2 linked regions of the Caenorhabditis elegans genome follow. The protein of the gene in region 1 purifies or fractionates together with the protein of each later gene. This does not show direct contact. Each region holds a gene or a part of one and is shown in the gene's direction. Other genes may lie near its edges.

Evidence for each region. Proteins that work in one complex are often made in the same cells at the same time.
Region 2: the proteins of cil-7 (region 1) and F45F2.10 fractionate together in Caenorhabditis elegans (co-fractionation; one large-scale study listed by BioGRID). This does not show direct contact.

The regions. Positions count from the first base shown.
Region 1 is NC_003279.8:4,986,351-4,991,416, reverse strand, and holds cil-7 (CILiary localization), read left to right. Parts: upstream 1-1,962; 5' UTR 1,963-2,019; coding exon 2,020-2,070; intron 2,071-2,223; coding exon 2,224-2,409; intron 2,410-2,454; coding exon 2,455-2,600; intron 2,601-2,675; coding exon 2,676-2,988; intron 2,989-3,225; coding exon 3,226-3,368; intron 3,369-3,427; coding exon 3,428-3,623; intron 3,624-3,791; coding exon 3,792-3,959; intron 3,960-4,017; coding exon 4,018-4,461; 3' UTR 4,462-4,528; downstream 4,529-5,066. Other genes in the region: dyf-1 (Tetratricopeptide repeat protein 30 homolog), read left to right, coding at 140-328, 372-661, 964-1,099, 1,144-1,338, 1,397-1,717; paf-1 (1-alkyl-2-acetylglycerophosphocholine esterase), read left to right, coding at 4,801-4,941.
Region 2 is NC_003283.11:8,513,052-8,520,512, reverse strand, and holds F45F2.10 (ANK_REP_REGION domain-containing protein), read left to right. Parts: upstream 1-1,748; 5' UTR 1,749-1,945; intron 1,946-2,165; 5' UTR 2,166-2,202; coding exon 2,203-2,392; intron 2,393-2,903; coding exon 2,904-3,181; intron 3,182-3,245; coding exon 3,246-3,658; intron 3,659-3,705; coding exon 3,706-4,624; intron 4,625-4,729; coding exon 4,730-4,978; intron 4,979-5,114; coding exon 5,115-5,165; intron 5,166-5,220; coding exon 5,221-5,441; intron 5,442-5,491; coding exon 5,492-5,601; intron 5,602-5,641; coding exon 5,642-6,153; 3' UTR 6,154-6,168; intron 6,169-6,214; 3' UTR 6,215-6,940; downstream 6,941-7,461. Other genes in the region: F45F2.11 (Protein kinase domain-containing protein), read left to right, coding at 1-234, 278-768, 812-904, 960-1,167; F45F2.9 (5'-deoxynucleotidase HDDC2), read left to right, coding at 7,052-7,336, 7,411-7,461.

The DNA.
Region 1 (5,066 bases):
ATGTGCCAAAATATTGAAGATTCTAACACCTTTTAGAGTGTTGCAACTAGATAAATATACTTCTAATTGGTGAATTTTCAGTACATTTAGCCAAAATCCCTAAAAACATTTTTAATAACCCCAAATCTGTAAATTTCAGGCAATTAGCAATGCAAACAGTGATTTTGGAGACAGCTCGGCTAAGCTTCAATTTCTACTCGGTATCAATCCATTTCCACAAGAAACGTTTGCAAATCTTTTGTTTCTTTATTGCAAGAATGATTATTTCGGCTTAGCGGCAGACGTACTTGCTGAAAATCCAAGTCACACTTTTTATTGTCTTAATGAGGTTTGCAGTAGTTATAGTTTAATTTAATATAACTATATTCAAGTATCAATTCAACCTTCTCGAAGCTCTGATCTACATGCCAACCAACCCAGAAGAAAGTTTGAAGAAGTTAGAGAAACTTGAAAAAGAATGTCTCGATCGACTCCGGAAAACTGCAATTGAAATTCAAATAAAAAAGGAGCAGAAAACTACGGACAGCGATGATTCTTTAGAAATGAGAAATCTTATTGAATCCTACGATGATTCACTGGAAATGTACCTTCCTGTACTGATGACCTACGCCAAATACTATTGGGACAAAAGAGATTATCAAGCAGTTGAGAAGCTTTTCAGGTAAAAGGCTTGTAAAAATGGGCCGATAAAAACAATATTTTATACGAGTTTTATTTTTAATTTTGTTTAACATTTTTTTCAAATCTAAACATTAATTAGGCTCGAAAATACGACATTGCTGTAAGTTACTCAAAAATGTCTTCTTTTTGTTGAAAAATTGGCAATCTATCAAAACGTTGGCTGAAAATTTTTAGAGTGTTTCATTATGATATTTGGATGTTTTGAACTTTAATTAAAGCTTTAACAAAACCCCATTAACAAAGGTTGGCTTTTTTTTGCCTACCTAGCGACATTTTTTGAAGGAATTCCGTGGACTACTGTAAAGAGCATGACACTTGGAAATTGAATGTGGCTCACACAATCTTCATGCAGGAAAAGAAATATAAAGACGCTGCTGCATTTTATGAACCAATTGTTCATAAGAAATATGACGATGGAGTAAGAGCTTATTTGGAAATCTCAGTTAAAAATTTTTATTTTAGATTTTGGAAGTTCCTGCCATGATTCTTGCCAACTTAGTTGTTTGCTACATTATGACGAATCAAACCGATGAAGCTGAACTTATTCTGAAAGCTGTAGAAAATGAAGAGGAAGCTGCGTTAATGATGAAGCCTAATGAGAAGTTCTTCCATAATTCCATAATTAGTTTGGTTATTGGAAGTTTGTACTGTAGTAAGGTGGGGGGATTTTGTTAAACGCGTGCATTTTCATATTTTAATTTGTTCCATCTTTCAGGGTAACTTTGAATTCGGAATTTCCCGCGTCGTCAAGGCACTAGAACCGCCTGAGAAGAAGCTGGGAGTCGATACATGGTACTACGCAAAAAGATGTATAGTGGCTGCTATTGAGCTCATGGCGAAGAATTTGTTGGTGATGAGAGATTCAGTTGTCATGGAAGTTATTCAATTTCTAACCAGCTGTGAAGTTCCTGGACGTAATATTTACACGGTTCCAGATGACTTATTTGAGCAAGCTGGAGAATCAAAAGTTAAATGTAATGTTACATATGAAGCCAGGATGATCAAAGCGGCCTTGTTAATGGTTTTCAATGATTGATTTTTCAACACCCCTAAACACTCCAATATTGAACTTTCGTGAGAAATGTAATATGTCTGCAAAGTATTTCCTTTACATCCGAATGTATATATCATTCATATAAATGTATATGTATTATGACGTATTCATAAAGTTTTTCCTTTTCTTGTGGACCCTCATGTGCCCGTCGCTGGGCGTCTCCTAGGTTTCATGCACATCTCCATGGCTCCGAGAATGTCTCCACCTTTTTTGGGAGATGCACAAAAAGAACACAACAAGCAAATTGAATAGTTGAAGGTGTATTTTATTTTTTTTTGCTGATTATGGGCTCTTCACCATCCAAGCGATCGGATCCGGTGGAGGACATTCGGAAGGTAAATTTTAAAATTTTTAGAACTGCTTCCACTTGTTCACACTTATTTTTATGACAAACTTGAAAGAAAAACTTTAAGAAAAATTTCCTGGAATATCAACTAGAAATTGTTGAGGAAATTTTTGAGACTTTTTAGAACTATATAAATTTTGAGGAAAAACCGGGACCAGTTGAAAAATGGGCTGATCCAGTGGAAAGAAAGTCTCGTGACGATGAAGCAAAAGGTGAAACACCAAAACAAAAAGGAACTGGAAAACGAAATGCCAAAGTGACTCCGTCGAATGAATCTGATGCCGTTCCGAAAGGTGGAAAGCTGAAATTGACAGAGGGAGTTGTTCAGGTAAGTTCTTAAAAAAGACTTGAGAGAAAATGTGTTTTGTTCCAGGATTATATCAACATTGAGAAAGCCATAAATCGCTTGGAACGGAAGAATGTTTTGAAGAAGTTTGAGTCGCAAACAATTTATGCAGACAATTTGAAGAATACAGTTGAACAGTTGGAGGCAGTTTTGAAAGAGTTGAAGAAACAGACGTATGAATTTATTATTTATTATTGATTATATCGAATTTCCACTGGAACTTCCGAAGAAAAAGTTAATAATTTTAGAGAACGAGAGAAAACAGATCTCAAAAATATTGAACAACCTTCCGTTAGAGATTATTTGAAACAACAAGGACAATGGGATGATAGATATTTAAAAGAAAAAGCTGAATACGAGGATGCAATGGTTCGACAGGAAACAGTTCAGAAAGAGTTGAACATTGCAAGAGTTAACTATGATAATGCTGTCAAAATTCAAGAAATTTATAAGCAACAAACAGACAATTTAAATGCATTATATGAAGAGCAGGATAAGATGTTGGAAGCGATATTTGGAACAGATTATGCTTCGGAAAAGGAAAATGTTCTGGAAGGAGAGGTAAGCCGTCTTGTTTTAATTCCATTGGCTTGGAAATCGACTTCATTCCTGACAAAAATAAAAATTACCCTTTACAGTTAACTTGTGATATGTCCATCAGGGCCGCAGATTCTCTCAAAAATTCTGCCTTTTTCTTGAAAATTAAAAAAAATTGTTGTGAAATTTTCAAGAGGTCTCATTAAGAAATTCGGTTTTTTGAAGAATACTTGGCTGCTCACCTTTAATTTGCTCTTTTAGGTGGATGATATGGTAGATTGGCAGCAGCGAGTTTCCCTTGCCATGTTCAAATGGGCAAATGGAAGAGTTCTACTTGTCCATGCTCTCACTCAACTCACTTTTGGAATCAATCGATGGCAAGATGTTCAGAAAATTGAGAAAGAGTATGTTTTAATGTGCACACACAAGGCCACCTACCAAAATAATCACCTGTAACTTTAAGAAACGAAAGAGGTCGTTATTTCGCCGCTGCAGAAGCTCGGAACAACTTTGTGGCAGCCGCGCAGAACGTTCAATCTTGTCGAATGTACTTGAACAAAGTTGATTTTCCGTACGGAACTGAAAAAGAGATTGCCCTCCTCGAAGATACTGTTAACAAGGCTTTTCGCAATGTGGATAATGATTCTGAAATGAAAAAGGTAGATTTTTTAATCTTTTCTATTAGACTTGCATTTCCTTGCCTTACTTTAACAGCTTACATCTCGGCTCTCGTTAGTTTTATCAAGAAATTATCAACTGAAAAAATACGAATATCTAATAGGAAAAATACGAAAATTGTTAAAACTTTGTGATTGAAGTTATTTCAGGCTCTAAAAGTATTCCAAGAGACTCAACAAAAAGTAGCCGCTTTGATTCAATGGTTTGATAAAGTGATAAATGATACAATTCGAAAAGATTTGGATCAAGCAAACAATGAGTTGATTAAGAAACAGAAGGCATTGAGAGAAGAGAGACTTACTTTGATGAAAAAATTGGTAAGTGTTGGCTTAAAATAATTGAAGGATTACAAAACTAAACTGTACTCATATTAAGGCCAAGGCACAACTTGATATCGACATGAAAATTGATTATGATGACGTGGCAGATGATGAACTGGAGCGAGAATTGAAAGAGCTGGAACGACAAGCTCTTCGAGACGTGGAGAAGTTGAAGGAAGCGGATGTTCAAGGAATTTTGGACCTGGGAAAATCCGATGGGCACATCGTAACACCGTTGAACAAATTGGCTCCGCTGCCCTCGAAAGATGCATTATTTGGAGATGTGAAGCAGAAGTTGGATGAGTATGATGAAACGAGAAAACAATTTGAAAGACGGAATAATCTGCAGAGGGAGAAACAAGCAATGGCATTACAGGAGAAGTTGAAGTTGAGGCAGCAGAAAAATCGAAGAAATAGAAAGGAAAGGAGGGATAGTATTGGAACACCTCCATTGGAGCAACCTGTCAAATCTGGAAAGAAGAAGTCTGCACATCATTGACTACGATAAGATGCCACTGGGATAATTTTCATTTAACAGCCTATTTTTGTGTGATAAAGTTGTCATTTTCACTAGTTTCTCAAATGGAAAAAAAAATACTTGAATTGCCTCAAAAATTATTTTTTAAAAGAAATTTTAGAAAATCAGTCAGAATTATTGAAAAAAACATTGTTTTAAACCGTGAGGCATTATTTAAACTTCCGTCCAATGTCTTGGATACAAATTATTTCACAATATTTTCATCAAACGTTTCAAATTTATTTTCTCTAGGAAACTTAAAAATTGACTGTAAGTTGATGCCACGCTACTGACAGAGAAACTGAAAATTGCAGATAAAACATGGGTGGATACCTCTCATCACCTCAAATACTTACTCGTAAGATGCCTGGGCAATTTAAAGTCGGATGCATGGATCTTATGATTGAGGAAGCAGCTGGCTCGGGACTTTTCATGAGATTGTTCTTTCCAACGGATTCTGAGGTTTTTGGTTAAATTCGATGTCTTCTATTATAATAATTTTTGTGATTTCTCGGCGCCATTTTCTTACTCAAGATTGGCCCAAAAATATTACCTAGGATTTTCAAGACTTAGCCAGCTAAATTTGG
Region 2 (7,461 bases), on another chromosome or scaffold:
GGTGAAAATGAGGAAAAGTGTGAATTTCGTCCAGTCGTCACACCAAACGAAATTGATTCTCATAAGGAGTGGTATCACAGGCTTCTAATGCTCAAGTTAGAATATAAGCGCGGTGAACGGGGAGCTTTTCCTCCATTTCCACCACCACCTCTTCCTTCCATGATGATTGCTGCAAGTAACGCCGTATCGTTCAATGCGTTCGACGAAGTCAAAAGAGCAGCTCAAGCGAAAACCGTAAGGTTATTCAGAAATTCGATATCGTAATTATCATTTTCAGGCAAAGTCTCCGAGCACGTCTTCATTGGAAAGACGAGCCCAACGTTTTTGTCCCGCTGATTTTCAACCACTTCCTCCACCTCACATCTACATTGAAATGATCAGAACATTGGCTCCTCACCAATACATTGATTTGACTTATGCTCTCGCTGGTTCGGTTCTTTTAGAGATGGGTGTCAAGATTCCTGATCGATATCCGAATTTACCTCCGAAAATTGAACCGTACCGAGACATTGAGTCAGAAGAAGCAGCTCACTGGACTGAGATGTCATCACAATCATCCTCGGAAGGGGAATATTCAGACGCTTCTGAGAGTGCGAAGCTAGTGCAAACGTTGAATAGAAGAAAAAATAAGGAACGAAGGGAAACGAGGAAGATAAGAATTGTTGCAAGTATGCTCACATCTTCGACTTTTTCAATGAAGAAAAAAAGGAAAAATGAAGGACTTGATTTTAAACATGAAACATTTCCGAGAGATTATGATTATAAAGAGTAAGAATTTAAGTAGTTATCGAATATTAAATCGTTATTTCAGAAAAACACTTTCTACATTCATTCCTCCGAGAATTGCCCGTCGTCCTCCTATTCCTCCACCGCAATTCTTCTTTCCACCATCACCACATTTCAGGTATTCATGTAATTTACTAATTCAATATCGCTAAATACTAATTTTATATTTCCAGCCGTGAGCCTCACTCGCTCCCACCAATGCCGATGATGTTGCCTATCCCATTACCACCGATGTCACTATCCTCTCCAATCTCGCCAATCCATTTCCAAAAAAATCTTCAGTCTACTCCAGAACGTCCTTCTCGAACTGATTCTTCTCGAGTCCACGCAAAACAAATCAAAAACGATATTATTATCGTCGAAAAAGTAACTGATGTCTAGAAAGACAATGATTATTTAATCTTCCAATTCTTTTCATTAATTTTTTCCTTAATTTCTGTAATTTTTAAAATAACATTTCAAGAAACTTCTCATCTCTCGTAAATCGACAAAGAGTCGTTCCTTTGTCCGCAATTGCTCGTCGAATTCGACGTTTGTGCAGAGCCGGCTGCACAATGGTCGTCGTGTCTGGAACGATTTTTTGTCGGTGAGCGACGGAAATGTTCTGAAAATCTTTGTATTTATGCTTTTGTTTTTTCTCTGTCTTCGCTTTCCCAATTTTACAAATTCCATTTGTTCCTGTTTCTTTCATTCCCTTGACAAAGTCACAAAATTTGTCCTTTTTTTCCTTTTTATCTACCGTTGTGATCTACACGAATAAGATTTTCTTCATGCTTTTTTGCTTATAAATTTTTTTTTGTGCTCGTTTGGATTTCGATAGTCCTATTATATTTATTAAAAAGATAGAAATCACAAAATTAAAAAAAGGCAAGGTAAATTTCAAAAACTGAATAATTTATGATTTAAAATTTCAATGGATATACTGAACTGAAACTTTAAAATCGTTTAATTTGTATTTTTAGGTCGTTATTTCTAGACCTCCCGAACGAGGGTCAGATTAATTAAAAAATTGCCTTTTTTGAATTTATGGAAAAACAAATCGAGTTATTCTGAATGTTGGATCATAAAATTGTTGCTCAATAATCTCACACCCCAAATCTTGTCGCAAATTTGCACTCTACTTCTCTGGCGCCATCTCTCGTTATTTCTATCTGCCACCGTGAGTTGTTTTCTTCCTACACTTCTGTTAGCGGGCCCCTCGTCTCGTTTCGAACGTGCCGTCCCCTCCACGCTCTCCATTTTTAATTCTCTTTTTCTCTTCGGTGAGTGTTTGTCTGTGAGCGAAGTGTGAGTGTCTTCTGGTTCTATCACTCATATACGCACATCCATATTTATTTCGTATATCACAGTTTAGCTCACACACACTCAATTTGTTGCAGAGGCTGTCAAAAGCAACAGTCTTTTCAGTTGGGTTCAATGCCAAAGGATAAAAAATCTAAGCAAAAAAAGGAAGGAAGTAGTGGACAAGAAGTAGAAATCGTCATTAAAAGAAAGAATTCGATTGTGGATTCAAGTGGAGGCTCGTCTTCTTCATCTTCCGAAACATCAGGAAGCTCATCGGATCAATCATCGCAATCTGGAGATAGCGACGGATCCATTGGATTTGGTAGGATTTATTGTTTGGAGGAAGCTGTTCACTCTCAAAAGCGATTGATTTCATCGATGAGAAAACATCAGAAATAAATATTTGAAATGCGAGGGATTTCGCAATTGATAGTTTTTAAAAAATTTCGGACAATTCAAACTCCTGTTTCAGCGCAATATTTATTTTTGATCTACAAAAATTAACTTTAAGAAACTTGTTTTTGTAGAAGTAGATCAAGAAAATTAGTCCTCGAAAAAAAAATTCGGAAAAGAGGTACCGCGAAAATTGTCAAATAGTTTGCTGAAAACGAGAATTTCATGCGGCGTCCATAGTGCGGAGAACAGTTTACTCGCTTTCACATTGCTCAACTTAACATTTCGCAGGCTCTGATTGGTTGATCACGCCCAATTTTTGAAATTGATCAATAGCGAAACGAAAAACTCCTCGCTTTTTCTGCGCACTATGGACGCCTCGGAAATTTCCGTTTTCCAAATTTTACCATTTCTTCTGAATAAACATAACCAAATTTCAGAACACGAGAAAGGTACAATGACTGGCGGTGATAATGTACAAGGGAGCAGCAGCAGCCACCCCGATTTGGGAAATAATTGCTCCGTGAGAATTAGAGATAGAACAGAAGAAATGCGGAAATTGATGGATGAAAATGCAAAGAACAGACCGGTGCGAATTGTCGACAATGTACATGGTGTTCCAATCACAGAATTCACTCACATAGTTCCTATCTCGGATCAAGAAAGAGATGATGGTCCATCAACTTCTGGAAGCTATCCGAATAGAGAACCTGCTCAGGTAGGAATTGAAAATAATTTTTTGAACCAGGTGTCAGAAAGAGCTTAATTTTAAAAAATTGCAGCCGTCGTGTAGCAGTTCAAAACAAAATGGAAAGACTGCGAAGAACAACTTCAAACAAAAACAATTGACAAAGAAACAAAGAAAAGAGCTCGAAAGGAAAGAATTCGAGATTTCCGGAGCACCAGCGCCAATCTATCCAGGTCAAAAAGAACGCACGAAAAATCCGATAGAATATGTTGTTGAAAAAGAGCGAAATAATCTTCATGTTCATCACTTCAATGAATGGTCCGGTGATAATGTTCGAGATGGAGAAATGGTGGTTCGAGGAACGAATGCAGCTGCTCAAAGTATGCTCGGACAGGATACGGTAGCCATTCCGTATTTGCGCCATGAAGATGAACTTGGTCCTCCAATGCATTACACTGATCTACATAAAAATTCTCAAATGAGATATTTACGGAACGTTAATACAATGTAAGAAATCAAGTTGTTCATAATCTTAAATAATTTTTGTTTTTCAGTGGAAATTACACCGGCCTTCCAGCTGCACTGAAACCACTTCATCGGATGGGATACGGTATAGCAGCATCGGGAATTCCAGATCCAGAGCCTCACACCTTGACGATTAATGGTGCAAAACCATTTATGAAGTACCAATACACAGATTACGTGAAATCTGGAGCAAAAATAATCAATTGGCGGAGTGATTTTGTTTCCAATGCAGACATGGATCAAACTTCTCAAGATGAAACCTATGTTGCCATTATGATGGATCACAAGAAAGCCCTTGAAAATATGATCGAAAATACGGATGATGAATTTCAAAAGAATATGATTATTGCACTGAGAGATCTCGATTTGCGACAAGTTCTTCTTCGATTTGGAGAAATTGAACGAATCATCGTTCGTCGGAAACAAAACTATGTATTCAGTGATTGTTTTCCACGATTCGATTCTCTTTCTCGTCAAGCTCGTATCACATATGTTGTGACCCAAACTCTTGACTGGAGCACTAATTTATTTCTCGAAAAGTTTGAAGACGATGTGACTGAGGAACGTGCCTGCTCAATTTTAATGCATCTTGCCTCAACATGTCCTGGAGAGAAACCATGTTACGAAGACAAGCATCGGAAATGCTCAATACTTCACTTCTTGATACATACGACCGCCAACAAGAATATACATTTGAGTCACAAATTTTCTGGTGGAAATACACTTCTTCATTTCGCTGCAATGACAGGTTCACCGTGCCAAGTCGATGTTCTTCTGCGTAACGGAGCTCCACTAAATGAGCTGAATGATCTTCATAAATCTCCAGTTGCATTAGCTATCCGAAGACACACTAGTCTGATTGCTCGACAATTGATGTGGCATGGAGCTGATATTGGAGGATCGTTGTCACTGAATCATGTTCAGCCAAGAACACCTCGACAGGCAGCGGTATTTTTTTAAATGTTTATCAAAAATATCAACACTTTTGAAGTACTTACCTATAAATTTCTAGATTTAAAATTGATATTAAAAGCAATCATAATATTTTTTCAGAACAAAGAGCTCTCCGAATATCATGATTATCAAGCAAAAAGCATTTCGTACAAAGCACGAGAATTTATCAATCAACGTTTGAGGGCTCTGAACAACTCGTTTGTTTCATGGGTTGAAGCCATTATTATTGACGCCGATGGACGAGTCAAGCTGGGTGTACATTCTGTAAAATCAGGTCTTCATCAAGTTCGCATCGGACAAGACATTCTAGATAGATTGGTGGTTGTACAAAATCGTACATTTGTTAAGGTTTGTATGAAAATTAAAAAAAAAACTATTTAGTCTAAATTTTTTGTTTTAAGAATAGTTTTGGAAATTATTATAACTCTATAACTCTATATAACTCTGAAATACTACAAATAAATTTTATTCGAAATTCTTTCAGAAATCATTCCAAATGGTGATCGAGAGAAGTGAATTCGAAGAAGAGCCAGTGGTAAGTCTTTTTCTTTTCGAATTATCTTAAAACTATAAATATTCACATTTGTCAGGTTCTCTTCCTCATACCTTGTCAATACAATCGATTTGACACTACAATGCCTGCCAATTTCCCACATATTGTTCGAGTTCCGATGGTTACTGATGCTCTTGCAACTGCTGAAAGAATTGCTGCGAAAGAGAAGAAGCGTATTGCAAGTGGAGGTGTTCGTGTTGAATACAAAGATGATTTAAAAGGCTGCCGACCGATTAAACTACTTGGAGAATCTGTTTCGTATGTTAATCATATGAGGAACCTTCATAAAATAATTGAATTTATTTCAGAATTAGCTTTGGAGACGGAAACGTCGATCGCCGAGAAATTCTGGAACCATTCTTCTCATTTGAACATAATGGAATCATATATGCTTACAATTTGCCTCCAATTATTTCAAGTAAGTTTCCATTTCCCTGAAAATTTACGCAATTTTTTAGATAATTTAGAGACAAAGTCCAAGCAAGTGAATGTCACGGTGAATCTCACGATTCCGGAAACTGAAGGAAATCGATTCAAAGATTGTTTCTTCATGGTTCAAGCTGTTCAAATTGTTGTTCGGGAACAACCACAGCCGATTAATCCGGCTTTCGAAAGTTCTCCCAATTCTTTTAACTTGAGACCAAGGGATCCGAGAACTGATATGATAGCCGAGAAAGTCGCTAGAATGAGAACCGAGAAGGTGATCGAAGAAGCGGCACGACGAAATGAAGTGGAAATGAGAGATAATCGAGTTCGTGGGATAGTTGCTGATATTGAGTCAGCTATAGCCTTGAAAAAGAGTAAATCGGTTCGAGGCGAAGCAACAACATCTGTGTCTTCTTCTAATTCGGCTTCATCCAGTTCGCAGGTGTATGTGAAGGACAAGACTGTTGTACACCGCTTCCCATCAAATTCTATGAAAGATTTTGACAAGCCTCCGGTATCTTCAAACAAAACGAAAACTGATTGATCTATCATATAAACGGTAAGATTTGCTTCTGTTATTTAACAATCAATTCATTGATTTTCAGATGTCATTAAAAACGGATTTCTTATTTATCATCATCAATCATCCAAATGGTTCAATCACTTTTGCTCCACAAGTATTCAATTTCTAAAACCTTCGTTCAATTTTTAATTATTTTCGTATTATTGTTATTCCGCGCTTCATGCACCTCGTTCTTGTGTAATTATCAACTACTTTTTAATCTTTTTACTGTAAGAACAGCCTATCCTTTCAATATAATCATATCGTTTTTGCCAAGTTTTCCGCAACCAACAAATTTTCGTGTCGAGATCTTTTCTCAATGTTTTCCCCGTGTTAAGCTCTCTTCCTGTTTTCATTCGGGCCTATTTCTTTTCTCTCAATTTCCATTTCTCTCTCTTTAAACTTGCCCCAAACATCCCATAACTCTTCTGGTTCAATTAAGAACGTCTAAGTCTCAATCTACACTCCGTTATTTCCTAGTAATAGTTTAACCTTTTTTCCCAGTTCACTTTTTTTAAATTAAAATCAATCCGGCTATCCCTTTGTATTGTGTCCCCGTTCATTATCTTTTGCCGTTGCATATATACCCACTTTCCTGTGAACACCATCAAACCAGTTCAAGCTCCACCCGTTTGCCGACTCCGCTCCAATTTTCATTTCTCTTTTCAATTTATATTTCATTTCATACTTTTGTGTATGTATTGAGTCTTGAGACCTTTCTGGAGAGTTTTAGACTATTAAATTATAAACGCGTCTTAAATTGCATAATATTTTCTTTAACGTTTTCTCAGTGTCACCTTTTTTAGCTGTTCAGTCGAATTATTGAATACCTCGTAGATATTATAAGATTCTATTACAATTAAGCCATATTTCCACACAGATGTCTTCTGTTAAAATCTTCGAATTGCTAGATGTTCTTGACAATTTGAAACATCTCAAGCGAACCGGCTGGGTAAAATGTGGAGTTCCTGAACCAGAAACTGTAGCCTGCCACATGTATCGAATGGCTGTACTCGCAATGGCACTGGAAGGACAAATTGATGGATTAGATGCAATTCGGACTGTGAAGATGGCTCTTGTACATGATATTGGAGAGGCTATCGCTGGGGATATCACTCCACATTGCGGAGTTTCTGATCAAGACAAATTTGATTTAGAGAAAAAGATAATTTCTTGATTCTGATTAAAATCAAAATTCTGTAGAAAGTTGCTTCAAAAATATCTCAAATCACTTTTCAGGCTATCAATACAATCGCTTCATTCGTTCCAAATGTTGGCGAGGAGTGGACA